4 linked regions of the Astyanax mexicanus genome follow. The protein of the gene in region 3 interacts with the protein of the main gene of each other region in a pairwise test. Links are inferred from orthologs where the notes say so. Each region holds a gene or a part of one and is shown on either strand. Other genes may lie near its edges. The genes, in order: dnajb11, ubqln4, ptn and chd3.

Region 1 (8,371 bases), on a different chromosome or scaffold from region 3:
CAGAGCCTCAACCAGACTGATGGTGACGTTAGTGTACAGGTCATCACCTCTGCGCTCAAACAGCGGATGTCTGCAGAGAAAAAGATATTGAATAAGTAGATGCATTAAGATTTCCCACTCTTCAGCAATTATTGGTAAACCTTTCTTTTACAGTCCCCTAAGTTCTAGGTACAGACAACCCCCTCTAGCAAAAAAATCTGATCCCTATTCAATGCAGGAAACCCCACACTCATGCATGCAATACAGTGCAATCCAAACTACATACAAACCTAGTGAGCCCAAAAGGCATAAATGATTCTATTTAAATTCAGTTTTCACTGACATGGAATGTTTCAATAGTTGCTAGTAATAAATTGATCCAGTCATTATCATAAAAAAATTAACTGAAATAACCAATCCTTACTTTAAGACTTTGATACGGAAGCGGAGATCTCCAGGCTCTCCGTCAATGTGTGGCTCCCCTGCACACAAATGACCAAACATATATTGCTGTTCTCAGATATATTTTTAACCACATACCAATACCTGCATTCTAGAACTTTGTATAATAAAATCATTAGTTTCACTGCGGTTAAAATACCTTCACCAATGAAGGGATATTCCATCTCATCTCTGACTCCCTGCTCAATCTCCACCTCTAGTGTCCTCTCTTCATTCACAAGCCTGCAAAGAGTAAAAACACACTGTAAACATGTGCGCACCATTTATCATCTATTAGCAAGTTACATCATTATTATTTGAGGAAAGTGGAAGCAGAACTTACTTAATGTTTGGGCATTCATCACAGACTACTTCCTGGGTCATCTGGAAGCGGCCTGGCCCGAGCTGTGTAGTTCTCATTTCCTGGCGACAGTTGCATTTCCTTTTTCCTGGTGCCTCTTTAGCAATTGGCTTGTTTCGCACTACCTACATAGTAAAAGAGGGAAATGTGAAGAGAGGAAATATGTGACAATAAGAAACAAGGAAGAACAGCATCCTTCCCATGCTGAACCAGAGGATATGACACGAAATGTATTAAAGGAAAAATCAGTTATAAATGCAAGTGAGTGTGTAAAATTGTTACAGAAGTCCAATTTCCAAACACTGGGTAGAGATTTCTGCCCTACCCACTCCTCCCCAGATGTGAAACTCATGCGGGTTGCCAAATTGGCACATAATGGTAAGCATCGAGTAGCTGTAGTCTGTAACTAATCAGTGAAATATATATGGTGGTAATATGGTGGTAAATAACAGATTACTGTGATGTTTTGCACAGCTCAAATAAGAATACGATTTAATTTAAAACATATTTATATAAAACATATTTATATAAAACACTTTATTAAGGAGTTATGGAATTATTAAGACCAGAGAATTAGTGGTTATCTTACCTCAACAAAATTTCCAGAATAAACCTCCTCCAGTGTAACTTCCAGGTCCAGGATAATGTCATTTCCTCTTGGGATGTTCCGGTCCTGCTGCTGCCTGTTTCCTCCAAACATAAACCCAAAGTCCCCAAAGAAGCTGCAACAAACATAGAAGAAATGTGAGTGTCATGATAGTCATATACATAGTGACAGTGGGGGCAAAAAAGTGCAGTGTAATACTACTGGACAACTGTATGAACACATACACTATATCCTCATTAAAAAAAAAAGTACTATAGCTGAGCTCTTCCTAAAGCTGTCTAGAACAGCCAGGTAGGTCTCTAACTTTCTGTTACACAATAAATACATGTGCAGTTTAACCGCATGTACTAAAATAAAAGGGAATTTAAAAAATGTCACCCCTTTAATAATATAATATTGCTTGGACACTTACCTGGAAAAGATATCACCATGCGAGCTATGATGACCTTCCTTCAGACCCTCCTCTCCATAGGCATCATACTGTTTCCTTTTCTCCTCGTCTGACAGCACCTGAGTTCAGATTACACAAGTCATTCATTAAGTGGTATCAGAATATAATAATTCATCAAGACAATAAAGAGGACAGTGGCTTTAACCTAATCTGGTTTCAATCTGTTCCTGATTAGTTTAATTGCCTTCTGATGTTCCTTTAATGATTGGAGAGATCAGTGCTGAGCAAGAAAAAGGCTTACTGTCTGTACACAGTTAAAAATTATGCTGTATTATTTGTACTGTAATTTGATTAGCCGTGTCACTGCGATACAGAAATTGTCAGAAACTGTAACACTGTATTGTGCTGTCTATTTTTGTGGGCGGTGCTAATCTGCTGTTTGATTGTTTGACAAATGTCTATTCTGATAGAGAACATATCTCAATTTGTGCAAAAAAGCGCAAAAACACAGAAGATAGAAGAAAACAGGGGTTAATGTATTTGAGAGCATATTAGTATATTTGGATTTATTTTCATGAAGCATGATTAAAACAAAGAAATAATAGGAATAATCTACCAACACAACCATTTATTACTTCCTGTGCTTTTTTTTTTAGTTTTGAGAACCTTATTTTTATCTGAAAAATGAATCAAAAGCGCCTGAGAAAACTGCAACTGTTAACTAATCTACCGCCAGAGCAGCTCCACGTCGTGTTTTCAATACTACCAGTCAGCTGACTTTTGACCAATCAGACGTAGCCACACATTTCACTCCACCAATCAGATTCATCCGTGGTTTCCCCAACACTGAAATGATGCCTGTCATACATACAGCTAAAGCCTTGGATATTATATTACAGTGACACACAAACAAACAAACAAATAAAAAAATTTTTTATATATATATACACATGTTTAGCTGCTCAAATTTGAAGAACTTTATATTAAGCTAATAAATAATAATAAACAGTATAATTTATATTAAAAATCACACTTCCAGCTTTTCAGCTGTGTGTGGAAATAGAAACAGAGACCAACAACACACCTCATAAGCAGCTCCGAGATCTGCAAATTTGTCCTGGGCACTGGGGTCATCAGGGTTTCGGTCAGGATGAAGCTGAAGTGCCAACTTTCTGTAGGCTTTCTTGATGTCTTTGATAGATGCTGATTTGCTAACCCCAAGAATCTTGTAGAAATCCCTCCTGAATGGATAAAATATTTGCAACAAAAGTGTGATTAGGAATTTAGGTTATATAATAAGCTAGCTGTATAATTTTAATTATAAGGCGATCATTGTGACTTCTATCCAGTAAAAAAAGAAAATCTAAGAAATTTGAAAGAATGAGAGACAATGGCTAAATACAGATGGTGTATCTTATCTAGGTTATCAGTTTTATATGTAACCTCTCCAAATACCTAACGATAATCTAAATACAGCTACAGCATTAAGGTTATTTATTTTATTCTTAAATCAAGACAAACGTCCCTCTGCGTAGTTAAATAGGTACATTTGATAGCCCTCCACTACAGCACACATGTAGCTCCAGAGAGTGGAGCGGCGCAGACCAATCACAGAAGAACATGTGTACCAGCCCAGAGACCCGCTTCACACAGCGGAGAAACTAAATACACAGAGAAAACAGCGCTGCCACCTACCCAGCCAGTACTGTCGCTACTAAATATAAGAGCAGACAGCATATACTCGATAGTTTCATCCCTCCCGCGGCCATAGGTCTCGCTTTAATCCCGAAGCGCAGTAAAACACACCGGCTTTCTGTGTGTTGTGTAGTGCAGTGACCGCTTCCTGTTCTAGGAGAAAGACACGCCCCCAATTTTCTTACCGGCTGCAAAGAAAGAAAAAATAAAAGTCCCTTAAAGGCCAGGCATTTCAAATTAACGGTTTAAATATGCAATTACACAGAAAGTATATATATAATACTAGCTATATAACGCTATTTTCATAACAATTTGATTATTACTATGAAGTAAAAAATATAATAAAATAGAAAAATCAAAGTCTCCAAGAACATTTCAAAATAATTATAAATAAAGCTCCGGTAAAGAAAAAATAAAAAGAATGACATGAAATTCAATGAAATTAAAAAATGATAAGTTTCTCTGATTTGACAATTCCTAACTATATCTTTAAGTAACATGAATATTGTTCTTTTATTGTATAAACAACTGATAACATTTCAATATTGTCGTTTAGAACATTTATTTGCAAAACAACAGAAAATATGCAGTAGTTTCGTACAATCTCAAACAATGAAAAAAAAAATCAAGGTCATATGTATAAAAATACAATATTACTAATGTTTTAACTCAGAAACAGTTCAGAAATCAATCAATATTTGGTGGAATAACCCTTATTTTTAATCATCTTTGCATGTTCTCCTCCACCTGTTTTTCACACAGCTTTTGGGTGATGTTGTGCCACTCCTGCTGAAAAGAAAAAAAAGTCAAGCAGTTCAGTTGTGATCTTCCTCTTGATTATATTCCAGTGTTTTTTTTTTATCAAGATATACGTCACAGTAAAAATATTCGTAAGTATTCTAATAACAAGTAGATTATTAACATTAAGTTAAAAAAATAAAAATAAAAAAAAATTTTGAACTGTTTATTTTAAATAAAATATGTTTATTTTATTTAACGTTTTCTTTTATTTCTTTTTTTTCAAAATGAAAGGTAACATTTGTTTGCAATTTGAGCTGCACTCTGGGTTATGTTTGCAAAGTAATAAATAAATAAAGTTAGTATTAGTGGAATTAATATTTTTTTTTATCTTATGCTGAGGTAATTCGACTTTTATTTTGCCTGATTTTCTAACAGGAAGTAGTGCTGTGTGCTTTCTCGGCGTCGCTAGTGACAGACAGTAGCTAGGTAAGGTTAGCTAACGCTAGCTAATAATGGCTTCTCTGGACAGAGTAAAAGTGCTGGTGTTGGGAGATTCTGGTGAGACACAGCTGTTAATGTTACACTATAATTGTTTATATATGATTCACGCCGTGTTTTATGTCTTGTTTTTAATCTGTCGGCTCTTTTAAACTGCTCTAGTGATACTTTAAGCTAGCACTGAGTAAACACTTGCAGGTTGACAAGCCAACCTAGCTAATGTTTAGCTAGCTCTGGCAGGGAGTTAAAATGTTTAATTAATTGTTTATTCGCCAATTTACATCGGCTTTAATCTTACTGTTTGGTTATAGGCGTTGGGAAATCTTCTTTAGTTCATCTGGTGTGTCAAAATCAAGTGCTGGGAAATCCTTCATGGACAGTAGGCTGCTCTGTGGACGTCAGGGTAAGGTTGACAACTTGGTTAACTTATACAGCTCATAAAAAATAATGAGATCACTTAAAAATTAGTTAAAAATTAGAGTTTCTTTGATTTTTATCAAATTGAAAACCTCTGGAATATAATCAAGAGGAAGATGGATGGGCACAAGATCAAACCAAACAGAACTGCTTGAATTTTTGCACCAGGAGTAAAGCAGCATAAAGTTCTCCAAAAGCAGTGTGTAAGACTGGTGGAGGAGAACCTGACATATTGATATTCAGAAATATGGATTTCTGAACTCTTAAAACTTTATGAATATTAACTTTTTTCTTTGCATTATTTGAGGTCTGAAAGCTCAGCATCTTTTTTTTTATTTCAGCCATTTCTCATTTTCTGTAAATAAATGCTCTAAATAACAATATTTTCATTTGGAATTTGGGAGAAATGTTGTGTGTAGTTTATAGAATAAAACAACAATGTTCATTTTACTTAAACATAAACCTAAAAATAGCCAAATCAGAGAAACTAATTTAGAAATTGAAGTGGTCTCTTAATTTTTTCCACAGTTAGAAAATACTGATTTAAAATTGATCATACAGATTAAATTTATACTAACCTCACCCTGCAGGTTCACGACTATAAAGAGGGCACGCCAGAGGAGAAGACCTATTACATTGAACTGTGGGATGTTGGAGGTTCAGTTGGAAGTGCCAGTAGTGTCAAAAGTACCAGAGCGGTTTTCTACAATTCAGTTAATGGTAAAGTAACAAAAATGAAGCACTGGAGAGTGCAGATATACAACATTTTGGATGCACCTCTTCTCATTTAATGTTTTCTTTATTACTTTACTTTACTTTATTACTTACTGGATATACATTGTGTATTGTTAGTAATATTGTGTCATGTTGGGTCATTGAGTTGTGGCCACCTCTAGTGAAAATGCCTGTATTCTTTAATATCGCTGGTAAAATATGGGAATGTCGTTTTTTTTTTCCTCAGGCATAATTCTAGTCCATGACCTGACCAATAAGAAATCCTCCCAGAACCTGTATCGCTGGTCGATGGAGGCACTAAACAAAGACTCGTCGCCTACAGGGGTGATCGTGTCCAATGGGTAAGACACTATCAGTTTAGGTGTAAAGGCTGAAATGATTATCTGTGTGAATAACTCAGTGTTTAGGCTTGTAATGTATGTATAACATGTCTGGGAACAGAAATTCTAATGTAGAAGTTTTAGTGCACATTTAGAAGCATGATGTGGCAGTGTTTTAGTTCCCTTCACTTTGTTACATAATTCTTTGTAATGTATGGACACAGAGAAATAATCCAAAATTACTTTTAACATTTAAAAATGACAGTTTCAATTTGCTTTGTCTTAAATCTAGTAAAATCGCGTGACAGTGACTGCACTGTTCTGTAATTTTATTAGATATTTACTTAATACTTACATCTTATGCCCCCATTGACCATGTGATATTTGGTGGTGGTGTAGTAAGTGTTAAGTGTATCAAACACAACATGTGCCGCTGTGGTTTAAAACACTTAGTATACTAACTGGCCATTTTATAACACCTACGTTACACTTTGTAATCTGATATAAGGTGTAGTAAGTCATGCTCAACACTTGATTTCATTTAATCTGTGTTTGGTTTCTCCCCCACTCCCTCTGCCATGTACATGGCACCGTTCTGAAGGGTAGTTAAGAAGGACTGAGTTTGGGCCTGTTTTGATGCAAAAATCCACACTTTAGAGAAAAATACTGCAGGATGATTACCTAAGAATAAATGTTATGCCTTGTTTTATTTATTTATTATGTGATCACACAGGGATTATGACAGAGAGCAGTTTGCAGAGAACCCCATTCCTCTCCTGATTATCGGCACCAAATATGATCAGATACCTGAAAACAAGCGCAGTGATGTTCTGACCCGCACCGCCTTCCTGTCTGAAGACTTCAACGCAGAGGAGATCAACCTGGTATGTGATTATAATGTATAAGAATTATGTTAATTAGCTCTTCACAATGTAAAATGTTCTACCTTGTAAAAAAAGAATAATAAAATGTATTTCTTACACTTTCATCTCTATTTGAATAGTAATTTCTGATTATCTATTAATGATACTGTTTTTTTTCTTCTATTTATACCTTTAGGACTCCACAAATCCACGTTATTTTGCTGCTGGCTCATCTAATGCTGTGAAACTGAGCAGATTTTTTGACAAAGTAAGATACTTCTATATAGATACATAGAAAACAGCTTTGGATTTTAATTTATTTATCAAACTAATTAATAATCAAACATCTTTACTGTTTATTCTCTTTACTTCTTCTAATGCTTCATAATATTAGTATGTACTGGAATATAATCTACCATAGTTGCAGTGGTTGTTTGCAGATGAATGTGAACCTTTTAGCAGCACCAAGCCTAACATTAGTAGTGACAGTTACTTCAGTATAAACAGTATTAACTCCTTTTATTCACCCTAATTTCAGAAGAGATTGACCAGTGATTGACCAGGTGTCCCAATACTTTTGTCCATATATTCAATTTTTTTCTAAATTTGAAGAATTGATCGGCAGAATGTTGTTTAATGAGCTGATACTAGCAATAAATATACAGATGCAAGAAAAAAAATATGTAAACCCTTTGTGAATACTCGGATTTTTGCATACATTGGTCATTAAATGTGTTCTGATTTTCATCTAAGTCACAACAATAGACAAACATTGTCTGCTTAAACTAAAACCACACACAAAAAAAAAAAAATATATATATATATATATATATATATATATATATATATATATATATATATATATATATATATATATATATATATATATATGTTTGCATGGTTTTATTGACGCAACATTTTAACATTCACAGTGAGTGGGGGGGGGAAAAGTATGTGAACCCCTAGGCTATGCAGATCTCTAAGGTAATGCCAAAGGGTTTACATACTTTTTCTGTATTAAACTGTATTTAATGCTTAATGCTGAATAATTATAAATTGTATTATGATTTTTTTATACATCTGTAGCTTACAGGCAAATATCTTCTCAGAACTCTTATAATAGAAGTAGTTGGGGAGGTGCAGCTATGTAGAGTGAAAGATTCTGTTGTGTAGACATTTCTTAGAAATGAGTAATAATAGGAACTTGACCACATTCGGCAGATTTAGTAGATCTTTTAGCAGATTATGATGAAAAACCCTTGTGGTCAATTCTCTTTCACTTCTTCAGAAGTGAAGGTTTGGTTGATTTTGTTCTTTTATCTT
Region 2 (8,619 bases), on a different chromosome or scaffold from region 3:
ATAAACAATTAATCAAATGAACATTTAAACACACACCTGTAAAACTACAGTGAATACACAAATAATCTATATAATCTGTAATCTATAAAATAATAATTCTAAATAACAAAATATATAAATAACCAACAAAGCCAGTCAGATCCAGGAAATTATTGAATCAGTAAATAGAGGATTAATCTTCAGTTTTCACTCAACATTAGAGCTTAAACACTTAAATTTGTCTATACAATCAGGTATACAGGTAACCTCATATTCTTTGATTATTTAATCTACTCTGAGTAAAGCAATCAAACGTATCAATCTTAAATTTAACACAATATAAATAATGACTCATAAAGGGCTAACATTTTTTCATTCATTTAAAATCAAACAGAAAGTTACCTCAGTGTACACAAAGATTGTGTAAACATATGATACAATGTTCAATAAACAGCAGATTAAGATAGCTTTCATAAACAAAAACACCAAATTATCAAACAGCATAATCAAATTAATACGTACCCAGAACACCGGTAAAAACAGAGACGGTGTATTATGTATTAAAACTTTATAAATAAAACTTCATTTCTTTTTACAATTCATAAGACGTACTAAGATGTACTGAGCATAAAAAAAACACTACAAATGTAACCAATAACTAATCAGTTATTGGCCACTATCAAATTACAGCATAGACAAAATACCAGTAAATCCACAAACAGTATACTATTAACATGTACTGTGAATATCAAACATTACCCCTTTTTTTTTCGTCCACATTTTGTAAACAACTATATGTTGTAGTTGTTTTTCTATTTTCCTTATTTATTTATTTGTATAGATTTTTATATACGTAGTTTAATTATGACATACGATTTATATTTGGTACGTATGCCATGTCTATTGGACCTGTAGGAAAATAAAAGAGAGGGTCCAGATAAAATAATAAAACAAACTACTAATATCTAACACAGGGAATCTCTCATCTGCACAGGGATGGACATTTTAGCAAGCTGACAAAATAAAGCAAAAAACTGAATAAAAAATAGTGTATGAAAAGTTGGCTGGTTCTCTCCTGCTCCTCGAGAGAAACACAAGGGTTTATTTTAATCAAGTTTATGTATTTGTTCATTCATTCATCTGTAACTGCATACCTTACATTTTTATTACCTTTAACCTGTAAATTTATAATTCCAACTAATTTCTTATTCTTATTATCTCATTTGTTTGAGATGTAATTTTAAAATCTTATTAAAATTCTGGGTCTTTATTTATTTATTCATTCTTTTTCTTTGACAGTCCCTTACCTGTGTACTGGCTTGGCTACATTGTAAATGAGTGAAACCCTCAATGTATTTCGAGTTTAAATAGACAGATTGAACCTGATGTTTATTAAAGATATAGACCTACAAAATGTATTACCAGCTCATTAATCTGCTTTAAATCCACATTAAAACATTAGTAACCAACCTAACTAGCTAGCTAACCATCACTGTTAATTAAATCCCCATTATCAACAATTAGCAGGTTAACCGGCTAAAACCGTGTTTATATCGCTAACTAGCTGCGTTTGAGTGAAACATCAGTGTTCATATAGTGAATTCAGGCCTAATTCGCCTCCTTTTGGACACTATAGGTGAATAAAACCCTCTAAAACAGGGGAAATGACTAAGTAAAAATTAGCAGCTGAGTTGTAGGGCTAGAACCTTCCGTAGCTAAGCTAACGGCTAGGCTAACTCAGCTAATATTAAGCTAATGCTAACAGCCTAGCTTACTTAGCGGTAGCCAACCGAGCTCGATCTGCCGTCGCCTCAGACAGTGCGCAGAACAGCCGCTACCCTCTCCAGAGAGACAAAACGAGCACTTATGAAGCAAACCTGCCGTGTTTAATCGCGTTAAACTGATAATAAAGGGTTAAAGTAGCGATTAAAACCTTTACACGCACAAAAAGAGGTTGTTTCAGTAGGAAGGAATAGCTAACTAGCTACGCGCTGCCGCCATAGAAGCTAGCCGGGTGTCCTGTCGATTTGTGCTACCCTTTCGAAACCTGCTACCACCGTCTAGTTACAATGTACACCTTACTATAGATAAGGCTGTGTAACCGCTATAAATAAATAAAACAGTCTTTAATATGGGTTATAATACTCAAAAAGGGTAAAATAAGCATATTACAAATTCCTTTTAAGCGGGAAAAAGAGAAATGTATATAGGTTCTCAATCTAAAAAGAATCTTAAGTAGCTAAAAGCCCGGAGGAAAATAATAAGCTAATTAACAATAAAAGGATAGAAAAGTGCAAACTATATACAATATATAAAATCAAATAAAGACTTATTACTAAGACATTATAAAAAGACAATACAAAACGTAAAAGAAAATTAAAAGAGAAAAATATAAAATCTGTCAAAAAAAAAGTACAATGAGGCTACCTAGCTAAAATGAACTATGAAATAAAAAGTGAAAATGAAAAGTTAAAATAAAAAAACAAAAACAGCTACAAGCTGAGTGGAGGACAAGTTTAAAATGATTTTAATTAAAATCGTGAATATAAGTATAGTATATGCTATGGGTTATAATGTTTCAAAATGCTAAAATATTTCTCAGAAAATCCTATTAAGAGGACAAATTGTAAAAAAAATATATATAGCTTCTTAATCTAGATAAAACAGATACAAAATTTTCTTAAGTAGCTAAAAACAATAAAAGGAAGGTGATGTTAAGTGTAAATAAAATAAAATACATAAAATCAAATGAAGACTGGACATTAAAATCAACAAATAAAAACAAAACAAATGATAATGGAATAGTCTAAAAGGCAAAACGGAAAATAAAATGAAACAAAATGTAAAAATACAATGACAAAAGCTACAACAAAGTATAAAATAAAAAATAACGAACATAAATAATAAACTAAATAAACTAAAATGTAAATAAACCTAAATAAAACAGTTACAAACTGAATGGGGTGGATAGAAATGAAGTTTAAAATGATTTAAAAACAGAATCATCACGAAAAACACGTCATATGTCTAAAGAACAATTCGTCCGCGCATGCGCAGAACGCTTGAGCTGCACAAATTCGACGGCTAGCAGAACTCGACGGAACACCAGGTATGAACTGAGAGCCAGGCCGACTTTCTCCTCTTCATTTTCCTCATAAATGCTGCGTTAAATCCGCACTACCCACTCAAAACCCGCACACACCAGTTAATAAGGAGTGTAACATTAAAGCTGTGTGTTCAAATGTGAGTTACACAGACGGTTTCAGCCCGAAAAGCAGCGCTGAACTGATCGCCGCTGATTCTGGATCAGCCGATTCATGTCGGACAGCTGACTGAGCCGCTCTCACACACACAGCTACACACCCGCACACACACAGCTACATGTACACGAACACACGGAGCGGCGGCGGCGGCCCGGGTTACCTGTGAGACGGACGCGTCCTCGGATATGGCGATCTCCTCCTTGTCCTTGGGCGTTTTGACGGTGACCATGATGATGGTGCCGCCGGTCGCCGCATTCTCCTCGGATTTTCCCTCCACGGCGGGGTCCGCGCCGCTGTTCTCCGCCATCTTTTCTCTGCTCTCTTCACTTCATCACGTCACCGCGAGAAGAGCCGCGAGAGCAGCGACAAGAGCGGACCGGAAACAGCGCCCCCACGCGGAGCCGCGCGCGCCCAGTCACACTTTTACACACACACACGCACACACACATATACATCTCTAGAAAAAATAAGAGACCACTTAAAAACTTAAAGAGTTTCTCTGAATATAATTCAGAGGAAGACGGATGATCACAAGCCATCAAAACAAGATGAACTGCTTGAATTTTTGCATCAGGAGTAAAGGCATAAAGCTATTCAAAAGCAGTGTGCAAGACTGGTGGAGGAGAACATGCCAAGATGCATGAAAAACTTTTATTAAAAACAAGGGTTATTCCACCAAATATTGATTTCTATACTCTTAAAACTTTATGACTATAAACTCGTTTTATTTGCATTATTTGAGGTCTGAAAGCTCTGCATCTTTTTTGTTATTTCAGCCATTTCTTATTTTCTGCAAATAAAAGCAAATTTATTTGGAATCTGGGAGAAATATTGTCCGTAGTTTATAAAAATAAATAAAATTAAACCACAATGTTATTTTTACTCAAACATATACCTATAAATAGCAAAATCAGAGAAACTGCATTAATATTACATTAATACACTTTGTGACAAAATATGAAAAAAATAACGAATTACATGTACTATGGGTAAATTTACTGATATTGACTTTGGTTACTTTGGCAATTTTTGGCGTTAAGCGTATGTTGGCCTGATGTTGGATGCAAACCGCTATTTGACACTGGACCTATACTTTGGTTGTCAATTGGTGTTTAATATTGGGCCTATGTTGGCCTGATGGTGGGTGCCAACCGATGTTTAATATTGGGCCTATGTTGGCCCGATGTTGGGTGTCAACCAATTATTAATATTGGGCCTATATTGGCCTGAAATTGGGTGTCAAACAATGTTTGATGGAACTAAAATAAATAAATAAATACAGAATACGTTCACGCATTAAATACACCATTCTGAAAGCAACAAGATTTTAATTATAATGGTTGTAATGGTCTTTGTACACTTTTTAAATGAATTTAAAACAGTTGAAGCACATCAGGAACAAATAGTTCTGTTTTATATGTTTTTTTTTTTCTATAATGGGTAAAAGAAGGCTCATGCTGATATTTATTAGATTCAGTATAAGGGGATCAGTTTACTTAAGAACATTGCCCACTCTGCCCTGTAGATGGTACCAGTACACCATTCACCTTTCCACTCACCAGTACCATAGCACCATCTCTTTACTGTAGGCAGCATGAGGTCAGATTTTGCTAAGGTAGAAATGTAGGAAGGATGCTGGACCTGACCAAGTCTTTTTCAGCTACAGTAAAGTTCTGTGCAGATTCATTTTGCACTAGTAGTTTTTGCACTGCAAATTTAAATTATTATATAACTATGTATTTGCACCTTTTGTATGGCTGGCATCAGTTACCCTCATAATATGCACATCAACTGGTGTTCATTGTCTAATGTGTTCAACTGCACTACCTCCATTACACACTACTGTACTTATACTTTATATTTCATAGTATTGTTTTATTTTATCCTTCCTTACTAACTGTTGTGTATTGTGTATATCTGCTGCTGGATGGCCAAAAGTTCCAAAACTATCTATCTGTCTGTCTGTCTGTCTGTCTAACCATTTGAACCCTAGGCTGTTTCTATCTAACCCTATGAACTCAGGTCTTATAACACAGTAATTATATCAGACAGTCACATGCCCTGATCTCTTTTACTCCAGAAGACATACGACTGCTCAAAAATATAATCATTTAAAATGTAAAAGGGAACTGATCATGTTTTGGTCAAAATTTTACCAAGTGCCTGTTTTTTTTTTTTTTTAACTTATTTTTGAATCTATAGACTTTAAAATATATTTACACCTGAGATATCTTTTCAAAAACTGTTAGACTAGAGTGTTTATGAGTTAAAATAATAAGAATATTGATGAAAGTTCATTACATAGCTTATTATTTATTACTTTAACAAAATACATGGAGAAACAGCATCAGGTGGATTTATTTATCTTGATAATCAATAATCACACCTCTAGGATACATGTAGATACTAAAAACCTGACACTCAGAGCAGACTATGCCTTTCAGTATTTTAATCAGGACACACAAAGAAAACTAGATACAAAAATGTAACTTTTCAGTCTAAATAAATAAAAATGTTTAGTGCAAAATAACTACTTAATAAAAATGTGCAAGTAAAATAAAAACTATATAAAGTAGTGCGCACACCATACCTAGCTTTAGTTTGAGTAAAGCAGGTAGTTTCACACTTTTTTTGTGGACACTTTTGAGTCTTTATTTATTTGGTTTGAAACATCATATAAATGTGTTTGAAGCACTAAAGGTAAATAATAGTGGTTGGGGCAGGAGATCCCACTTTATTATGTGTTTTTCTCAATGGGTTTTTTGTAGATGCTACAGTAAGTACTGGGATGTGATCACTATTTTTAGAAAGAGTAAGTTCTTCCCTTTCTAATCATATATGGATTATGTTAATGTGTGAAGGGATTCCTGAGTAATTAAGCTGAGAACACAAGGTGCGATTTTGGAAGGAAAATTCGTCCATAGGGTTCAAAGGGTTAAAAAGTGCAAAGGGCATACTGTAAATAAACCAATCATTGTGTCACTCGCCATTCCCTTTAAGAGCCAGGTGCGCTCTGAGTTTGGCGGATTGGTATTTTATACCAGCGCTTCTGCGCTTTTCAGCAGAGAAAACTGACTTGTTTGTTCACGCTGTACAGATGTATGAGCAGATCATTTACAGAAACAGCAATGTTGTTATTATTATTAATTATTTTAATAGTATTTAGTTTTTTGTTGATGTAAAAGTTGGGAAATATGCCAGAAATTGATCTGAACACACCTCACTTCCAGACCACCAATACAATTTTAGAGTGGCAGGGAGAGTGAGTGAGGGAGAGTGAGAGAAAGAGTGAGTGAGTAAGAAGAAAGGAAAGAAAAAAGAGACTGGGAGAAGGGGGGAAGGAGAGAGAGGATGAGAGACAGGGAGAGAAATAGAGAGAGAGAGAACAAGACAGGAAGAAGAAGAAAGAGAGAGAGAGAGAATTAGAGAGAGAAAGAGAGAGGGGAAGGAGAGAAATAGAGAGAGAGAGTGTTCCAGTGTGGCGTGTGTAGACGGGTCTTACTGTTCTGGAGGAAGGTTTACACAAATATCTTACACGAAACTCTGAGATATTGCTTTTATTAAGAAGCTGGACTGTTTCATAACTACAGATGAACTTAATCTTGAGATTACTCAAGAATGCATTTATCAAGAAAATTCCCAGATGTGTTATTGCTCTGTCTTAAAAACCAAGGACAATATTTCAATAACCTGAGAGTGTAGAGTATTATTTAATATCCTTAAATAGCAAGTGCACTGCATATATTGGTCCTATATTCTTGTGTTCTACTGAGTTTGTTCTTGTAAGGTGATTTCAGTCCAAGAACAAAAGTACATTTTTCAATTTTGTAATAAGAAAAAACCCAGACGTCTATGGGTAGAAGTTGTTTAGGTAACTTAAGAGGAAACTATGCCATATTAATAAAGAATAAACCAATTCAAAAAAGCTAATTCTAATTTTGGATTACATAGATAACTTTAACCCTTGTGTGGTGTTCATATTTTTGTTACTCGTTTACTTTGTTACTTGTATTTAATTCAGCAAAATTAAGCAATTAAAATGCTTTACACATGCTCGCTTCACCTAAATTGCAAGCAATATAAACAGCTTACATGGTTAATATTTGCCCTTTACCTTTCTTATGTTACATTTCTTTCAAAAAGTGCTAATCTTTTTTATTAGTTTAATAAAATGTAAAAGAAAATGAATTAAACTCAAGATATGAGTAGAAAATTTGTTTAGTTTCAAATTTACAAATGAAGCAATGTTTATTAGCCCTTGGCCAAACAGACTGTATGTAATATAAATGTGTAGGGGGGGGACAGTGTGTGTTTATCGAAAATGTGTTTTGATATATGTTTTTCACAAAAAATGAGCCAATGCCAATGAGTTTGAGTTAGAAAAAATATTTTTTAGTATCATTTGATGAAAAATGAAAACGGGTCCCACAGACCCGAACACCACACAAGGGTTAATAAAATAGCAGGAGTTGTTTTTTCTTAAATTATTTGGAATTTAAGAAATGTAAGATGTTCAGTTTGGTGCAGTTTATTTCTACCACTGTTTGCAGTATACAGGTATTAAGAAAATAAATAAAAGTTAAATATATTTTTGAATAAAAAGTACTAACTGTCAGCTTTTTGATTACTTGATTACTTTCTCTGTTTATGTCTACATATGATTAGCAGCAGTTATCAAACATTTTATTTATTTTATTTTAAACAAATGGTGCTATTAGTTCTGCTTTCAAAAAAGAAAAATGTTGGAAATGGGTAAAAAATGGGTAAATTTTATTCTTCTATTTTGCTAGCCTTAGCATGGTAATATTTTAATAATAGTGACTAACCTGAGAGTGTAGAGTATTATTTAATATCCTAAAATAGCAAGTGCACTGCATATATTGGTCATCCGTTCTTGTGTTCTTGTGTTCTACTGAGTTTGTTCTTGTAAGGTTATTTCAGTCCAAGCACAAAAGTCCATTTTTCAGTCTTGGTACTAAGAAAACCCCCAGACGTCTATGGGTAGAAGCTGTTTAGGTGACTTAAGAGGAAAATATGCAATATTAATAAAGAATAATACTATCAGAACTAAGTAAATTCATTTTTTTGGAATACATAGATAACTTAACTATTAATATAGCAGGAGTTTTTAAGTATTTAATTAAAATTTAATTTGGTGCAATTTAGTTATATCACAGTTTACAGTAAACAGGTATTGACAAAATACATAAAAGTTAAATACATTTTTAAATAAAAAGTGCTAACCGTCAGCTTTTTGATCACCGTCTAATTTACTTTCTCTGTTTATGTCTACATATGATTAGCAGCAGTTATCTAACCTATTACCTTATAAAGATCCCTGGGCTCACGTAGCTTCATTAAATCCAGTTCAGTAAGG
Region 3 (8,512 bases):
GAGTGGAGAAGATCACGCATGTTGACTGCACAGGTCAGAGCTGTGTGATTATAAAATTTTAACTTTTTTTGTGATTATCATGCCACAGCTTTATATATACAAATACAAAATAGCATTATAGCACATTAGCAAAAACGTAGCCCTACATCATAGACCAATTTCTAGAGCCTGACTTCACAGAGCCCTAGGAAAGTAGTGGGAAATCTTGGCCAGATCCAGCCCGAGTTTGGGTTTATTTTTATTAAATAGAGTGTTAAAATTGATATTTTTAACTACAGTTTGGAGTTGTTTAAATAAGCGAAATGTGTTCAGAATGATGTTAATGAACATTGCAACTGAGGTTGGGCTCCACTCCGAGTCTTTTTCTATTGTCAGTACTTCTGCATGCACCAATTGGTCCAAAAAGCACCAATTTAGATCCAAAACTAAACAAAAATACCAGTTGGGAAATGTGAAGCCCTTTAACACACTTCCCACTGACTTCCCAGCTTCTCTCAGAGCACCTGAACTTCCGCTGGCAGTAATCCTGACTCTAAGCTGATCTGAGGCCAGTCTTCCGGATGGGCCTTTGCTGGTTAATCTCTCTTTCATTAAATGCTCACCATGTGTTGATGGCAAAGAAATGAAGCGGCTCCCTTTCAGAGTAGGCCTCACCGCTGCGGCTTTTGTGTGCGGAGGAATGAAGCAGAGTTTGGTCTGGCTGGAGTGACTGTGGCCGAACTGAAAATAACTATGGCAACAGCAGGAGTATTGAGGCCCTTTCTCTCTCCCTCTCTCTCTCTCTTCCTTTACAGGAGCAGCAGCTCAACTTGGTATCCCTTCCATTCCAATTCCAGTCAGGAACGACCCACTTTATAGCCTTCCAACACACACATGCTCAATGCAACATAGGAACGAACTGCTCTGCACACTGCAAGCAAACATACACATCTAGTCACACAGATATAAAAATGCAAATAAGTATTTGCACATGAAGCGCAGTGCTGTTCCAGTAAACTACAATATTCTCCACAGGTTAAAAAAGAGGAGAATCAGGTCTGCATATACTATGAGGGGCTTCGTGATAAAGAGGAAGGTGAGACACATTTTATTGCCCTTATATTCATATAACTCATTGCGGGTTCCTCAGGCAAGAAATAAACAAATCTACACTGGCTATGAATAAAAGCTCAACCACCACATTAAACTACAGAATGTTAAGCCTGTTTTAAAAAAGAAACTTTCTGAAATGAAAAAAAGAGAGAGTAAGAAAAATAAACGCCTTAAAAATATGTAGCTAGGCACTGCTAGACACCTTCTATTCAAGGGAAATGCAATTTGCTCTTCAATACATGCCAAAAAAAAATGAAAAGGACGAAATTGAGTGCTGTTCTAATCTCCCACTCAATGTCCAAACTGCATGTTCCCTCTAAGGGAACCCTTCCACCTTCTCTTTTGTGTTTTTGTTGTGTCTCAGACTCAGAAAGAGAGACAGGCTTGCTCTGTCTGTAAACGAGTCGTTATCTAGCTAATTAGCTAACTGGTAGAGACTGAAGACTGCTAAATTTGAGATGCATACTAGATCTGTATTTCCATACAAATCTACTGACTAACGTAAAAACTTTTAACAATGCTCAATTCAGACTCGCAATCAATAGACTAAACTCTGAATTGCACCTCGGAGAGTCGACCTAGACTCGCACCCCATAGACTCAACTCAGACTTGCACCTCGGAGAGTCGACCTAGACTCGCACCCCAAAAGACACAACACAGACTTGCACCCCAAAGACTCAACTCAGACTTTCACCTCGGAGACTCAACTCAGACTTGCACCTCAGAGACTCATCCCAGACTTGCACCCCAGAGACTCAACTCAGACTTGCACCTCAGAGAGTCGACTCAGACTCACACCCCATAGACTCAACTCAGACTCGCACCTTAAAGAGTCAACCTAGACTCTCACCACAGAGACTCAACTCAGACTTGCACCTCGGAGAGTCGACCTAGACTCTCATCACAGAGACTCAACTAAGACTCGCACCCTAGAGACTCAACTCAGACTTGCACCTCGGAGGGTCGACTTAGACTCGCACCCCATAGACTCAACTCAGACTTGCAGCCCGGCGACTCAACTCAGACTCTCACGTCAGAGAGTTGACCTAGACTCTCACCACAGAGACTCAACTCAGACTTGCACCCCATAGACTCAACTTAGACTCACACCCTAGAGGCTTGGCTCAGATTCACACCCCAAAGACTTAAGACTCAACACAGACTCCATAGACTTAACTCACTTGCACCCCTATTCCCCTGAGATAATAGACTTGACTCAAACTTACACCCCAGAGACTCCAAACACTCACACCCAAGAGACCCCAGAAGTTTGCTATGCAAAAAAATCAGACAAGTACACCAGAGATTTCAGAGACGAAGTTGCTTCTCAAAAATGACTCCCTCTTCAGATTGGAAGAAGTAACTAGTGAAGATTTTTGCATCTCAGAAACAAAAAGAGTTTAGTACTTTATTATGTTTTTAACCATTGTGGTATACTTCCTGAGTAAACTTGTCTCCATTTGTGCCCAACTTAAGGTGTTGTTACTCCTGCTATAATATACTGCATACATTAATTTAATTGATTTATTATTATATTGTGTCAGAATTTCAATTTGAAACACCAAATCCCTGGTATTGTGACAGACCTGTCATAGTACTAGATAAATATATCTGCTGATGTTCTTAACCATGTACTGATGTTATTTAACAAAAGGTTTGGATTATGGTTAAAAAATAACATAATTACCCAAAAAACATATAACCGATCCACTAACACAATATTAATCAACAGTGTGCCAAATCTATTAGAATCACAATATGTTACAATATATCACACTATTTTGTCTTTACTCTTGACATATATCATTTGTAACAACAATAAAGACTAGCACATTATCTCTCAGTCTTGTCACATCATCGGCGTGACATACGGAGCAGGCCTTGAGCGCTCACAGTGACCCTCACTTCATCTGTGGACTACGCTAGCTGCTTGACCAGTGCTGAGGAGACACTTGTAGGACACCCTGTCGAGCCCTCAAACACACTCGCGCCCTCACACACTCGCGCAAAGCATGGAAATTCTCTCTGACCACAAATCTCCCTCTGAAAGTTCTCTGCCTGTCTCCTCCGTGCTCACACATGACACGAAGTGATACATTCAGAGTACACAGCCTCTTCCCTCAGGCTCTGCGCTGAACCTGCTGTCTCTCCCCGGTCTCTCCTCACCCCATCCATCTACCTCTCTCTCTCTCTCTCTCTCTCTCTTTCTCTCTCAACACTTCTCCATCCCATTCTTCTAAAATCTCTCTTACGTGGTACTTACTTCTAGTTTGGTGTTTCAGCACTCAAAGCAGTCCTGACCGGCTCTTCTCATCCACTTTTTTGCGCTGATTGTGTTTTTGGCTCTTTGTCACTGTGCCTTCTCTTACACATTCACTCTCACTGTCTGTGGTAAACTCACGCTCTCTGAGCCACAGGGTTGTGCTAATGGTGTCTGTGTGTGAGTGAGTGAGGGAGTGTGTGTGTGTTGGGGTGTAGAAGAGGTGGGGGGGGGGGTTGTTGTTGTACTTGGGTTATGCCTGTGCCAGGGAGGGCGTGCTGAAAGAGCTGCTCTCAGCCCCATGATCACACCCTCATTAACACAAGGTCACCCCTGGGACGAGAGAAACAGAGGGAGGGAGAGAGAGAGAGCGAGAGCAAGCTGGAGAGTAAGAGCAAGAGAGAGAGAGAGAGAGAGAGAGAGAGAATTGTGCTGTGGATGGCTGTCAGTCAGAAAGATGGATAGTCTGAATAAACTGGTAAATGAAAAGGACCAGCTGTTCTTTCCTTGTAAACTGCAACAAGCATTCACTCTTTAAAAAAAAAAAAGAGTAAACTCCCAAAGTTCTGGAGAAATATTTACTTGCTATAGAAGTGCTGAGTCTTAGTATTAAAGTATGTAGGATTAAAGGACCAATAAAGATTATATTTTTAGTACTAAATGATCAGGATGTGTCATCACATATTAAGGGAACATGCAAAATTCAAGCACTGTCATCAGCAGAGCTAACTAGAGCTGTGTATTGTAGAAAATCTGTGTGACGTGTTGTACAGTCATATGAAAAAGTTTGGGTACCCCTATTAATCTTAATCATTTTTAGTTCTAAATATTTGGGTGTTTGCAACAGCCATTTCAGTTTGATATATCTAATAACTGATGGACACATATTATTAATATTTAATATTTAGTAATATTTCAGGATTGAAATGAGGTTTATTGTACTAACAGAAAATGTGCAATATGCATTAAACCAAAATTTGACCGGTGCAAAAGTATGGGCACCCTTATCATTTTATTGATTCGAATACTCCTAAATACTTTTTACTGACTTCCTAAAGCACAACATTGGTTTGGTAACCTCATTGAGCTTTGAACTTCATAGCCAGGTGTATCCAATCATGAGAAAAGGTATTTAAGGTGGCCAATTGCAAGTTGTTCTCCTATTTGAACCTCCTCTGAAGAGTGGCGTCATGGGCTCATCAAAACAACTCTCAAATGATCTAAAAACAAAGATTGTTCAACATAGTTGTTCAGGGGAAGGATATAAAAAGTTGTCTCAGAGATTTAACCTGTCAGTTTCCACTGTGAAGAACATAGTAAGGAAATGGTATATCACATGCACAGTTCTTCCTCATTTCAATCCTGAAATATTACTGTGTCCATCAGTTATTAGATATATCAAACTGAAACCGCTGTTGCAAACACCCAAATATTTAGAAGTAAAAATGATAAAGATTAATAGGGGTGCCCAACCTTTTTTATATGAATGTATCTGATTACTAGCTCATGACAGGTATGTCGATCATATGTCAGAAACCAAAATTTAGACTCTATATTGACTCAATTTAACTACAAATGTGATTATATGTTGAGTGATTTCTTATGTCCTAAAACAAGTAACGGTAAACATTACCTATGGCCGTTCCTAGCGACGATAACTATTTAGCTGATTATATGCATCATGTCCAAAGTTGTCTTCTTCTGGACTTCTGGGGCTTCTTGCAAACGGTCCAGAAGACTAACTCTGCATTCACACTGTCAGGCAACAGAGTGACAGGCGACCATGCATTTCCTATTGGAGGACGTGATTTGTAGCAGTAACATGGTAACAAGCAGCAACAAAGTGACAAAGGCAATTAAGCAAGACTTTCTCTTGCTTAACTTTATGCAAATTAATTATGATGTGGTAAAGTGATAGTCTTCACATCATTTTGCTTTTCATCAGCAGCCAGTTTGGCCATGCTCTCTTTGGTGAGTAAATGACACACTCTCCCCACTTTACTACTAATGTGATGTTGGTCAGCACGGGCATCTGTTAACTGATGTATCAGAGATGTGTTGCTGCGCTTTCCTTTAAGTGTCCTTTAAGCTACTCAGTGTGTCACACCTTAGCCTGTGTCTGTCCAGTGTCTTTTTTCTTTGTTTTGGTTCCTTCCTGCTCCTGTCCTGTTCTCTATTGTTTACCTGTTATGTTTCCCAGCCATGTGCTACTGTTGTGTTTGGTCTTGTCTCCGCCTTAGCCCCGCCTTGTCATCTGTAACCCCTCCTGTCTCATTTGTAACTCCACCCCTCTTTACCTCACAACAGGTGACCCTAGTGTGTGCCTGTATATAAATACCTCATGTGCTCCTTTGTTTTCTGTCGTGCTTTTTGTTTGACCGTTTCCTGTTACTCTGTCCGGATCTTGTTTATCTGTTTTGTTTAGCCTCATACCTGCTGTGTTTTTTCTCTTCAGTTTTTCCAGGTTTGCTTTGTATAGTTTGTTTCATTGTTTGCTATTTTTGCTTGTTTGTTTCAGTCTTTTAGTTTGTCCTCTGTTTCACAGTGTTTTGTTTTAGTTACCTTTTATTTATATTATTCCATAGTGTTTTGTTCTTTGTTTACTCTTTCTAATATTGAAAGTAAAACCGACTTGCGCTTGCATCCTGCCTCCTCTTTGTTACACAGTGATGCTGCATCAGTGGCAGTTAAAAAAAAGAAGACAGTAACTGACTTCACATGTGTCCTCCTATTTTTAGGGGTAATTAATATGAATGAAAACTGGGTAATTGGCTCTCCAAATTAGGGAGAAAATGGGGTGAAATAAATAAATATAAAATGTCTTCTTGTAAGAAATATTGCCAAACTCTGAAATGCGCTTTATCCAAAAGATGCCAAGAGGCTGCTGCATGCATTAATAACCTCAAGGCTGGACTACTGAAATGTTTTGCTGGCTAGATGCTCATGTGAATCGTTAAACAGGCTCCAGACGGTTCAGAATGCAGGTGATATATTGCTCATCACAACTTTATCCACAGACAATGACCACACTACTCCTGTTTTCTTATCCGATGATTATTAAATTTGCTTTCTTTTGAAACAACCCATCACATTCACTTAGCTCACAAAACACTGGCCATTTTTCATAGCTCCCTAACTACGAACAACAATCATGTCACAGTTTGGAACTCAGACATACTCTTAACCTTCAAATATAATTTAAAAATCTATGTCACAACTCTATGCTGTTAAAAAAATAAACTAAAATTAGATATAGTTTCCATAAACAGCAAGTTTTCTATGTCTATTTAAAGGCATATTGCTGATTGAGTTTGGTTAATGTTACATAATTACTGTTTTTTGTTTAATTCATGAGCTGTTTATATGTTGTCACTGCTTTCAAACTTATTATAGATTTCTAATTAATATTGTTGTAGCCTGTTCAAATATTATTGTTAAAGCAGCAATTGGATATTTCTCGATTTTGGCTTCTCTTACAGTTGAGTAGAGTGTACAGGGTTCGTACGGTCAAGAAAAACCTGGACAAGTCATGGAATTTCAAAACAGCAATTTTCAGGCCTGAATACATTTTGGAAAATTAAAAATACCCAGAAAGTTTGGGAAAAGTAATAGAAATTTGCTCTACAAATCTTTGTGATTCAATTTATTGACGGAGAAAGGCTATTTTGAGCGAAAAAAAATACATCAGCTTAGTTTTAGGACTGTAATCAATTTGGATTATAGTTGATAAGTTGTTTTTTGGTTTTATTGTCCATGTCTGCACAGATGTTTTAAGGATCGTATGGTCATGAACATTTTCCTAGAAGTTATGGAAAAGTACTTAAAAATGTATTGGCGCTCTGACTTTGGCGTATTGATATCTTAATAGCGCAGGGCCTGACCTGCTTGTACACACTGAGAAGGTGCGCCAGCAGCTCATTTACTGGAACAGCAATGTTATTTTATACTTTATTCTATTTATTGTTGATGTGTATGTGTGTGTAAGGAGTGGGGGTGTACACTGCATAGCTGCAGGGCTGTTGACTGTTGTCAGTGTTTTAATCGGTCAGTGGCGCGCCTGTATTTCCCAGACCACCAGAAATATATCTGAACACACCTCACTTCCAGACCACCACGCCCATCAGTGTAGATTTATTCAACAACTCCAATGCTAGTTTAACAGCGTGGACGTAAGGCCAGAAAATAGACTGCTGACAGGGTGTAAGGTAGCAACTGTCTAATAAATCATATTACCTCTGCTAGGCAAAGCCTAATTTTACAGTCATTTTGTCATCCATTGTGTAACAGATTGCAAAAGTGTCAGCTTTACTGCTCTGACAGCCTGTATCGTTCAGTCTGGGTAAAGATCTAGAAAATACATTTTTTCTGTCTCTTTAGAGGTTCAGTTGTAAACATGCACAGCTGTATTTAATAGTCATTCCCCATAAACGATGCTAACAAATACATCAAGCATCTCATTGCTGTTTATAAGCATCCTTCTTACTGTGTCTCATATAAAACAGATTATTTATCTGGAAACGTTCTATAACTTGATGCAACATTAGTCACTGTTTACTGCTGCACCTGCTTTGATCAAGATTAATGTTCTTGCTTTAGAAATTCTCTCCTACATTTGGAATGCAGTCTGTTTCTTTTATACAAAGGCTTCTTTTTTGTGGTAAAATGAGGCCTTTGTTGTTGATTTCACACTCATGAGTTTGGCAGCTTCATTGGAAATTGCAAATTATGTCTATACGCAGTGACTTGTGCACTAAACGGGTATAGAAACCGTGTAGAACACGTTCTTTTGCTTCTTTTAGACAGACAGGTGGAGAGTTATCTGGACAGATGAAAAACACCCATAACACAACTAGATCCAATTTTCCTTTGACATCAAAAACAAAGCTATTACTTAAATTATCAGTCTTTGATTATGCTGAAAGAGAAGAACATTCATTAGCACACAAGTATGTTCAGAATACACAGTTTTTTTCTTGCAGCAGGGGTGGCAGAAATTAACCATCAAAAAGTGTACTTCACCATAAGACACAAAATTATTTTTCCCACACTTTTTATATAGGATTTTTTGTTTCTTGCTAGTGAACATTCATACATGCAAACTTATCGGCTCTGGCTAACAGCCCTGCGACATCAGGAGGCGGCGAGATGGACAACAATTA
Region 4 (7,774 bases), on a different chromosome or scaffold from region 3:
AGCTGAATATTATCCTCATAATCACTTCCCAATGCAATTAGACTGAACAATGGGTTGACACTTGGGAGCATCGCAGGGGGTGGAGGGTAGAGCTGAAGAAGAGATCCCTTCCCTGACAATTCAACCTTTGACCTACAAGAGTTAAACTTAAGAGCAAAGCCATGTTTCTGGGCTGACTGCTCTCAAGAGCCAAATTACAGGTGCTCCAAAAAGTGATTGAGTATGCTTACTACACTTGTAATTGTTGTCTTATGTACAAGGTATCACTCAGGAGCTATAGCTAGCTATAGCTGTTTAGCCTTTTGCCTGAAAGTTAAAAAATGAGACAAAAAAATGTCCCGGATTAAGAGAACTTACAGAGATGTAGTTTAACGAGCTATAGCTAGCTTACTGTGCATATCACCTTAATATGAATATGAAATGTTAAAAGTATCTTTTAAAAAAGACACCAAGTCCATCAAATCAATAAGATACCGCCTTAAAAATGTTACCTAGCATCTTAAAATAATAAGATCAAAATAAGAATCCCCAAATAACGACTTAGAATCCCCAAATAACTACTTAGTTTCCTCAAATAATGACTTAGAATCCTAAAATAACGACTATCCCCAAAAAACGGCTTAGAATCCCGAAATAACAACTTAGTATCCCCTAATAAAGACTCAGTAATAACGTCTTGGTTTCTCAAAAAATTACTTAGAATCCTAAAATAACGACTATCCCCAAATAACCACTTAGAATCCCAAAATAACAACTTACTATCCCTTAATAACGACTTAGAATGCCAAAATAACGAATTAGTACCAAAATAATTATTTTAAAATTGTTAAGCGGCATGAATGGGCTCTCACAACCATACTTAACAAATAAAACCCTTTCTGCGGTCATGATACAGTATAAGGACAGATACGCGCTGTCTGGTTAGGGGTTTTCGGTCCTGTGAGGCAAAAAAACAAGCTAATCGGTTGCCATTGCACTCAGTAAAATTAGTTCTCCTGTTCTGGTCCGCCTTTGTTGCTAGGACGCAGCGGGCGGGCGAGCGAGCGAGCTTTTTTTCTCGCGCCCGGCTGGCCTCGCGCAGCCAGAGGCGGCAGCAGCGCGCACGCGGGTCTCGGTGATCGAGAGGCCGCGTCCGCGAGCCACGCGACGCAAAGCGCGAGGAAACTGCGCCTGCCCTCCTGCTGCCGCGGGGCCTCTTCACCTGGGAGCGGGGCGGAGAGGAGCTGCGGGCTGCTGGTGGGAGTCACTAGAGGGGATGCAAAGGGCGCGAGGGGGGAACGAGGGGTAACGTTAATTGATTCGCGCGCATCTTTGCACCCTGCGCGACTGCGAGACCCCTTTCTATGTTTATTTTATTTTTTTGCACAACTGAAAAAAGGCCCCAATGAGTGCAATCAACACATCCACACATGCGTGCATCCATGCATGCACGGCGACCAGTTATCACACAACAGTGTAATGAGGATATGCATTGCGCCACCATAAAGTGTGCCCAGACTTTTGTTTTGATTTAGAAACGCATCTGCATGTAAACAGGTCATCTTAGTATGGGGCTAAGGCACATGCCAAACTCTTATTGGTATCCAAATATTAGACATAGCTAGCTATATATGTAACTTATAGATAAAATCTATAGTTACGAGCAGTATTTCGTAATAGTGTGAAATAATATAAACACACATAGCTAACCTAACCTAGCTAACTAGCTATATCATATGAATGTAGACAGCACTGCTTAATATATGGTTCCTTGTTATGTCTAACTATTACTCATACTTATTAGCTACATCTTTATGATCTATGGATAGGTTATGTGCAGTGAGTGTACCATCATAGCTATTGTGTTGTCTTGAATAGCTAAGTATACAAACATTGCCAACTATAAAACCACCTATGTATACATTTTCTCATGTGGATTTGTGTTGTTTGAGTGTTGTTAGTGCTAATGACAAGTTAATACATAAACTGTGAGCCACTGTACTCTCCATGAACCACCTAGATTAGCTACCTAGTTAGTTAGCTACGTTAGCTAGTTGGTTAACCTAGCTAAGCTTAGTTATCTTAAAAGGGAGGTCTGTCCTGCCCTGAACTGTGGCAGTCAGAGTGACAGTGGGTCGGGTCAAGTTTATTTACAGTCTGTCACAACACTGACCACTGTCTCAATCAACCGGTAGTCCAGCGCTCTGCACTCTTCTGCAACCCCTCTAGTTAGTTAAGATAGCTATAGCTACTACCTATAATGCACTCGCCATTCGAGGTCTGGGGCAGTCGTGCGTAGTAGACATAACCTCAGGCAGTTTTTGCAAAACCTTACAGCGAGGAATCATTAAAAACGTTCAGCCATAAGCTAGGTTAAGAAGACAATGCACATTATTTGGCAATAGAAATTGGTGTTAGCCGGAGCAAGTGCTGAATGGCCCAACGGGACAGCGATGGGGACACTGGGAAAGTTTAGTTAAACTAACTAAACTCCACGGGGTTTATCTAGAGGCTACGCTTTATTTAGCACAGAAACGCAGTGAGCGAGTGGGCTATGCCGAAGCAGGCTAACTTACTGAACCTAGCTAGCAGTGCAGATGTTGTTGTCCCCCCGTGTTACGGGTCACACACACACTTTTTCCCGCTATATAACGCCGTAGCTACGTTTCCTCACTTTCTCCTCCGCCGCGCGCTCGCTCGCTCCCTAGCTCCCCCGTGTCTGCACGGTACCTGGCGCGGCGAGGGCTGCAGTTTCTCGAGGCGCCGCCGGCGAGTTTATGTCGCTTGCGTTCTCGTCCAGGTCCCCGTCGTCTTCTTCTTCTTCATCAAAATCTCCTCCCTCGGAATTAACCGCCATGCCCTCATCTTCCTCACAAGAACGGAGAGGAGAGGACATTATATGCCTGTCAGCGACCCCGTCCTCGAGATCAAAAAGTGGATTCCTCCCGAATTATGATATTTATTGAATATTCAAATCGACACACAGGGAAAAAAGTGGGGGGCGTTTTGGAATATTTTACACTACAAGGCAGAGAAACAAAGATGGCCGCCCTTATATTTATTTTTTAACAACCCCCCCAATAAGAAAAATCCCCTTACATAAAAAATGGCTGACTATATTATTTCAGAACGCCCCCCCTCCTCCTCCTTTCTCTCTCGCACTCTCTCTCTCTGTCTCACTCTCTCTCGTCTCCCCTCCCTCCTCTAAAAAACATTCTCAGTATTGTTCCAGCAGCAGAAAGGGGGTGTATGTAGAGCTGAGACTAAGTTGTTGTATTTTATTAACTCGTCATTTGCTCTGAGTGTTTTTGTTTTCCCTCGGTCTGTCTGTCTCTCTCTCTCTCTCTCTAATACTTGCCTGGCAGCTAACCTAACTCTGTGCGTGTCTGTGCGCGCGCACGCGTGTGTGTTGCATACTGTTGCGAGTGCACGCGGACGCCAGCGTTCACTCTCGCCTTAACACTCCTTCTGCACTGCAGAGAGCCTCGCAAATCTAACAAACATGGCTACCTTAATAGTCTTAAAGGGCCCCGCCGATGTATAAAAAAATATTCTGGAGTGAAAGGCTTTGCGCCGCGGTCTCGTCTGGCTGCAGGCTGGAAAGAACGGACGGGGGGGTTGGGAAGCTGTGCCGCAGCCATGCCCAGATTTACATCAGATTGTGTTGCTTAAAAATTAACCATTTAAGGCGCGGATGGAGGGAGTCAAACACTTATTCATTCCCCTTAGAAAATGGACGATTAAAAGACCTGTAAAAACATCCCTTTCTGTGTGATTTTTTTCAAGGAATCAAAACAGTACAAGTACAGTAGAACAAAATTTACCCCAGTGTCCAAAAGAAACTTGCATGCTGTTAAATTTCACTGACTGAACTCAAGTGTAACTGTGCAAAGCAATAATTACTTGAAAATACCTCCAGACAACACAGTTTCCCCTTTGTCCAAAAAAAAAAAGAAAATCATCTGTGTTGACCCTGAATATCAACAAGTAATTTTCACTCTCAATGGTATGTAATTAACCTGGGAGTAAATGATAACCTTAGCTCTAATTAAATGTTATGTCAGTGGCTCAGTTTGAAAAATGCACCATGAAATGTAATGCATGTAATTAGTATGCCTAAATTGTTTTTGCCAAGTTAAATGGTTCTTCACGTGTAAAAAAAATAAAATCAAATTTGCAGATGATTTTATTAGCTTACATTTTTAATATGTTTCTTTATAGTTCTATATAAAAAGGGGCAAAGAAAGTCAAAGAACCCCTGTTGCAACACTACATATGAATGTTCTAAAGCGCAAGCTACTGAATTTTACATGAACATTCACTATAGCAACTGCCAGCCACTGTTATTAAGGTGAGGTTACGGCACTATTACGGTTCTACTTTGAATGATGGGGTTTATCTGGGCCAAATACAAAATAATGGGGTCAACAATTAACCATACATCGAACACTCTTGTAATGCTTTACTGTAATGCAGTTACATCATATGATGGGGATAATGAGAAGTTCATATAATGTAAAATTGCGATCAGGTCAAAGTTCAGTAAGGTCATCGTTGAAGTACAGGCATATGGACTGAGTGTAGAGGTCACAATCCATGCGACACTTGTAGAATTCCTCATCTTCATCTGGGATGCCATTTTCTTCTAGGGTCTTACTAATATCTAAAATGACACCGTCATGCTTCCAGGTGTAGCTGGCCGCATGGGAGTTGTAGCGCAGGTATCGCTGCAGGATCTCATCTAGTGTTTCCTCAGAACACACCTGGCCAGAGAACAAAGAGAAAAAAAACTTTCAGTTACTAGTAATATTCCTAATATACATGGTTAACACACATGGTTAACACACACAAGTAAAGCTTTTTTTTCCCTTTAAGTAAAATACATTCACCCAAATTCCTCCACATATATGAATTATATAAGCAAAGCCTCCTGGATCTGCTAAAAGAGAGGAAAGGAATTTATGTCAGTTTGATCCAATAGTGGTGCACTGCCAAGAACCACTGGAGAGGGAGGGGGGAAGCGGAGGGAGAGTACAGAATGGGGTGGCTGGGGGAGCAAAAGAGAAAGACAATAGGAATGCTCTGTTAAGCCTTTGGACCATGCAGAATAGCCCGATGCCAGATGGGTCATGTAGCAGGAGTGAGCTTGCCCACCCTGCAGTGAACGTGGTGGCCATTGGACTGCACAGCTGAAGCACAAGCCCAGTCTTGGACCACTTACATTACCAGAGGCATAACATCAGTAACATTTCCCTTTGTCAAGAAGGAGAATCAGATGCAGACTGCAAGGGGAGGGTGAAATGAGCAAGGCAAAAGAAAAAAAAGGAAGGGGGGGGGGTCAGAAAAAGTAACAAGAAAGAATAGACCAATCCTGCCCTCTTCAGCATGCGGGAGCACAGTGCAACAAACCTTCCTGACAAAAGGAAAGTTACAGACACGTATTTATTTTTAACCATGCACATACAGTACACTACATGTCCAACAGTTTGTAGACATATCACATCCTTTAAATTATGGGAAGACTTTCTCCAAAGTACCTTTTTTCAGTATATATTAAATATAAAATAATTTATTTGTGAAGTATCCCAAATATAGGCATTTTCAGCACCCAATTCCAATAGTCTTTAAAGGGTTAAATCGGTTTGCATTGTACAAATCAGAAATTGCACATCTGAATAGCGAGATAAAGATAATGATGTGACGCTGTGATGATTTTCTGTACACTCACTAACAGAAAAAGCACCAAGCTACTGGAATCAAATGTAACCTTGTTGGTGTGACTGGAACAACAATAGATAGTGATCAGGCATAACATTATGATCATTCCAGTTTTTGCAACCATAATCCATTTTTTCAGCTCCACTGAGCACTCTGTTGTTCTATATTTACAGACAGTAGTTAATCTGTTTCACTGCATACTTTATTATCCTCCTTCTACTCTGTTTTTCAAAGGTAGTGTGTGTTGTACTGGCACGAGTGGAACAGACACAGCGGTGCTGCTGAAGTTTTTAAACACTCCAGTGTCACTGCTGTACTGAGAATAGTCTACCAACATTATCCTTTGAAGAGCTTCCTGTGGGCAATGTCCTGTGACCATTGATGAAGGACTAGAGGGTGACCAACACAAACTGTGCAGCAACAGACGAGAATCCGTCTTTGATTATGTCTAATAGAGTAAATATTGTGTGGACACACTGTTTAAAAACTCACTGCTTTGCCTGATTCACTTGTGCCAGCATAACACACCACCACATCAGTGAGATACTGATACTGAATGAAACAACATTTACTGGTCTGACAAATCTTGCTTTCTTTTATAACATGGGGAAAGCAGGTATGCTCACATGCGGGATAAACTGGAACAACAAATCTGATCTGTAGCAGCTCTACCTAACAACTTCCAGGGCCTAAAGCATCTGCTGTTTTATTGCCAAATAACACAGGGCACCTTCAGAGGTCTGGTAGAATGAGCTGTTTTGCTGGCACGCAGAGCACCAACAGCACATTAGGCATGTTGCCATATCGTTTTGGTTCATCGCTGGATAGTCCATACTTGGCCATTGGGATTATTAAAAGGCAATGCATGTTTAATAGAGAAACACACATTCTCTGGCATCATAAATTTGTGAATACACCTTGTATCCTGTAACACTTTTGCCATGTGTTCAGTGTGGCCTACCTCCAGGCTCTGCTCCTGGGACGTGAGGGTGTTGATAATGCGAATCCAGCGGGTCTTGGCAGAAAGCAGGCCCACCTCATAGCGGCTGTCCCTCCACCACGGCCTTCCGAAATCATTAGCCCAATCAGTGCTAGGGCAGGGAGGGGGCACATGCAAAAAGCGCCCTCTAGGGGTGAAGTATTTCACACAACACGATAATGGATCGATGTGGGTACGAATCTGAGCAAGAAGACATAAAATAAAATCACTCTACTTGTGTCTACTGATGTCCAGTCAATTCTGGTGTTATTTTAAACAATTTAAGCCATTTAAAATATGACCAGAGCTGACATTGTTTTATTATTTTGTGCCTTAATAAATATGCTAAAATACTCAGTAATCAAGATTCCAAACAGTCTAAAACAAAATGCTAAGAATTTTCAACAGATTTTTAGAAATTAAAAATAAAGATTAACTTAATATAATAAATCTTTGACACATAATTAATTATACTGTTGGTCTAACGTCAACATTTTATATACAATAACAATATTACAAACTGACATATTTCTGTGCTTTCCACGTTTTCTGCAGAGGATGGACATCCCTGAGAACAGGTCACGTTTTAATTATAGATTTTTGCAGATTTTATGCAGTTTGTATAATAGGTAATAGGTAAAAAATATTGAAATTACATATTCTACATAAAACTGAATGGTTATTACTCTAAAAATAGAGTAAACATAAAAGAATATACTTATTTTACTTACATGAAATATGTATATCTTATTTGTATTCTACTATTTTGACATATTATTATTATTATTAATATTATTACTATTATTATTGTGGTCTTGCAATGTAGAAAGGGACATTATTGGTCTAACGTCAACATTTTATATACAATAACAATATTACAAACTGACATATTTCTGTGCTTTCCACGTTTTCTGCAGAGGATGGACATCCCTGAGAACAGGTCACGTTTTAATTATAGATTTTTGCAGATTTTATGCAGTTTGTATAATAGGTAATAGGTAAAAAATATTGAAATTACATATTCTACATAAAACTGAATGGTTATTACTCTAAAAATAGAGTAAACATAAAAGAATATACTTATTTTACTTACATGAA

What was found.
Region 1: the proteins of ptn (region 3) and dnajb11 interact in a two-hybrid assay, tested with the Homo sapiens proteins (2 studies listed by BioGRID and IntAct). The link is inferred for Astyanax mexicanus from reciprocal best matches to the Homo sapiens genes PTN and DNAJB11.
Region 2: the proteins of ptn (region 3) and ubqln4 interact in a two-hybrid assay, tested with the Homo sapiens proteins (2 studies listed by BioGRID and IntAct). The link is inferred for Astyanax mexicanus from reciprocal best matches to the Homo sapiens genes PTN and UBQLN4.
Region 4: the proteins of ptn (region 3) and chd3 interact in a two-hybrid assay, tested with the Homo sapiens proteins (2 studies listed by BioGRID and IntAct). The link is inferred for Astyanax mexicanus from reciprocal best matches to the Homo sapiens genes PTN and CHD3.

The regions. Positions count from the first base shown.
Region 1 is NC_064418.1:3,062,410-3,070,780, reverse strand, and holds the start of dnajb11 (dnaJ homolog subfamily B member 11), read right to left. Parts: upstream 3,631-8,371; 5' UTR 3,549-3,630; coding exon 3,475-3,548; intron 3,021-3,474; coding exon 2,864-3,020; intron 1,899-2,863; coding exon 1,801-1,898; intron 1,504-1,800; coding exon 1,371-1,503; intron 907-1,370; coding exon 764-906; intron 664-763; coding exon 581-663; intron 462-580; coding exon 404-461; intron 71-403; coding exon 1-70. Other genes in the region: rabl3 (rab-like protein 3), read left to right, coding at 4,728-4,773, 5,025-5,116, 5,721-5,850, 6,092-6,206, 6,919-7,069, 7,245-7,316. UniProt on the Homo sapiens protein: As a co-chaperone for HSPA5 it is required for proper folding, trafficking or degradation of proteins.
Region 2 is NC_064408.1:115,871,355-115,879,973, reverse strand, and holds the start of ubqln4 (ubiquilin-4), read right to left. Parts: upstream 3,584-8,619; 5' UTR 3,550-3,583; coding exon 3,403-3,549; intron 1-3,402. UniProt on the Homo sapiens protein: Regulator of protein degradation that mediates the proteasomal targeting of misfolded, mislocalized or accumulated proteins.
Region 3 is NC_064409.1:45,675,201-45,683,712, forward strand, and holds the start of ptn (pleiotrophin), read right to left. Parts: upstream 3,557-8,512; 5' UTR 3,357-3,556; intron 1-3,356.
Region 4 is NC_064415.1:23,862,309-23,870,082, reverse strand, and holds the start of chd3 (chromodomain-helicase-DNA-binding protein 3), read right to left. Parts: upstream 3,248-7,774; 5' UTR 2,876-3,247; coding exon 2,710-2,875; intron 647-2,709; exon of another isoform or gene 72-646; coding exon of another isoform or gene 22-71; intron 1-21. Other genes in the region: cytochrome b5 domain-containing protein 1, read right to left, coding at 4,512-4,742, 6,659-6,877.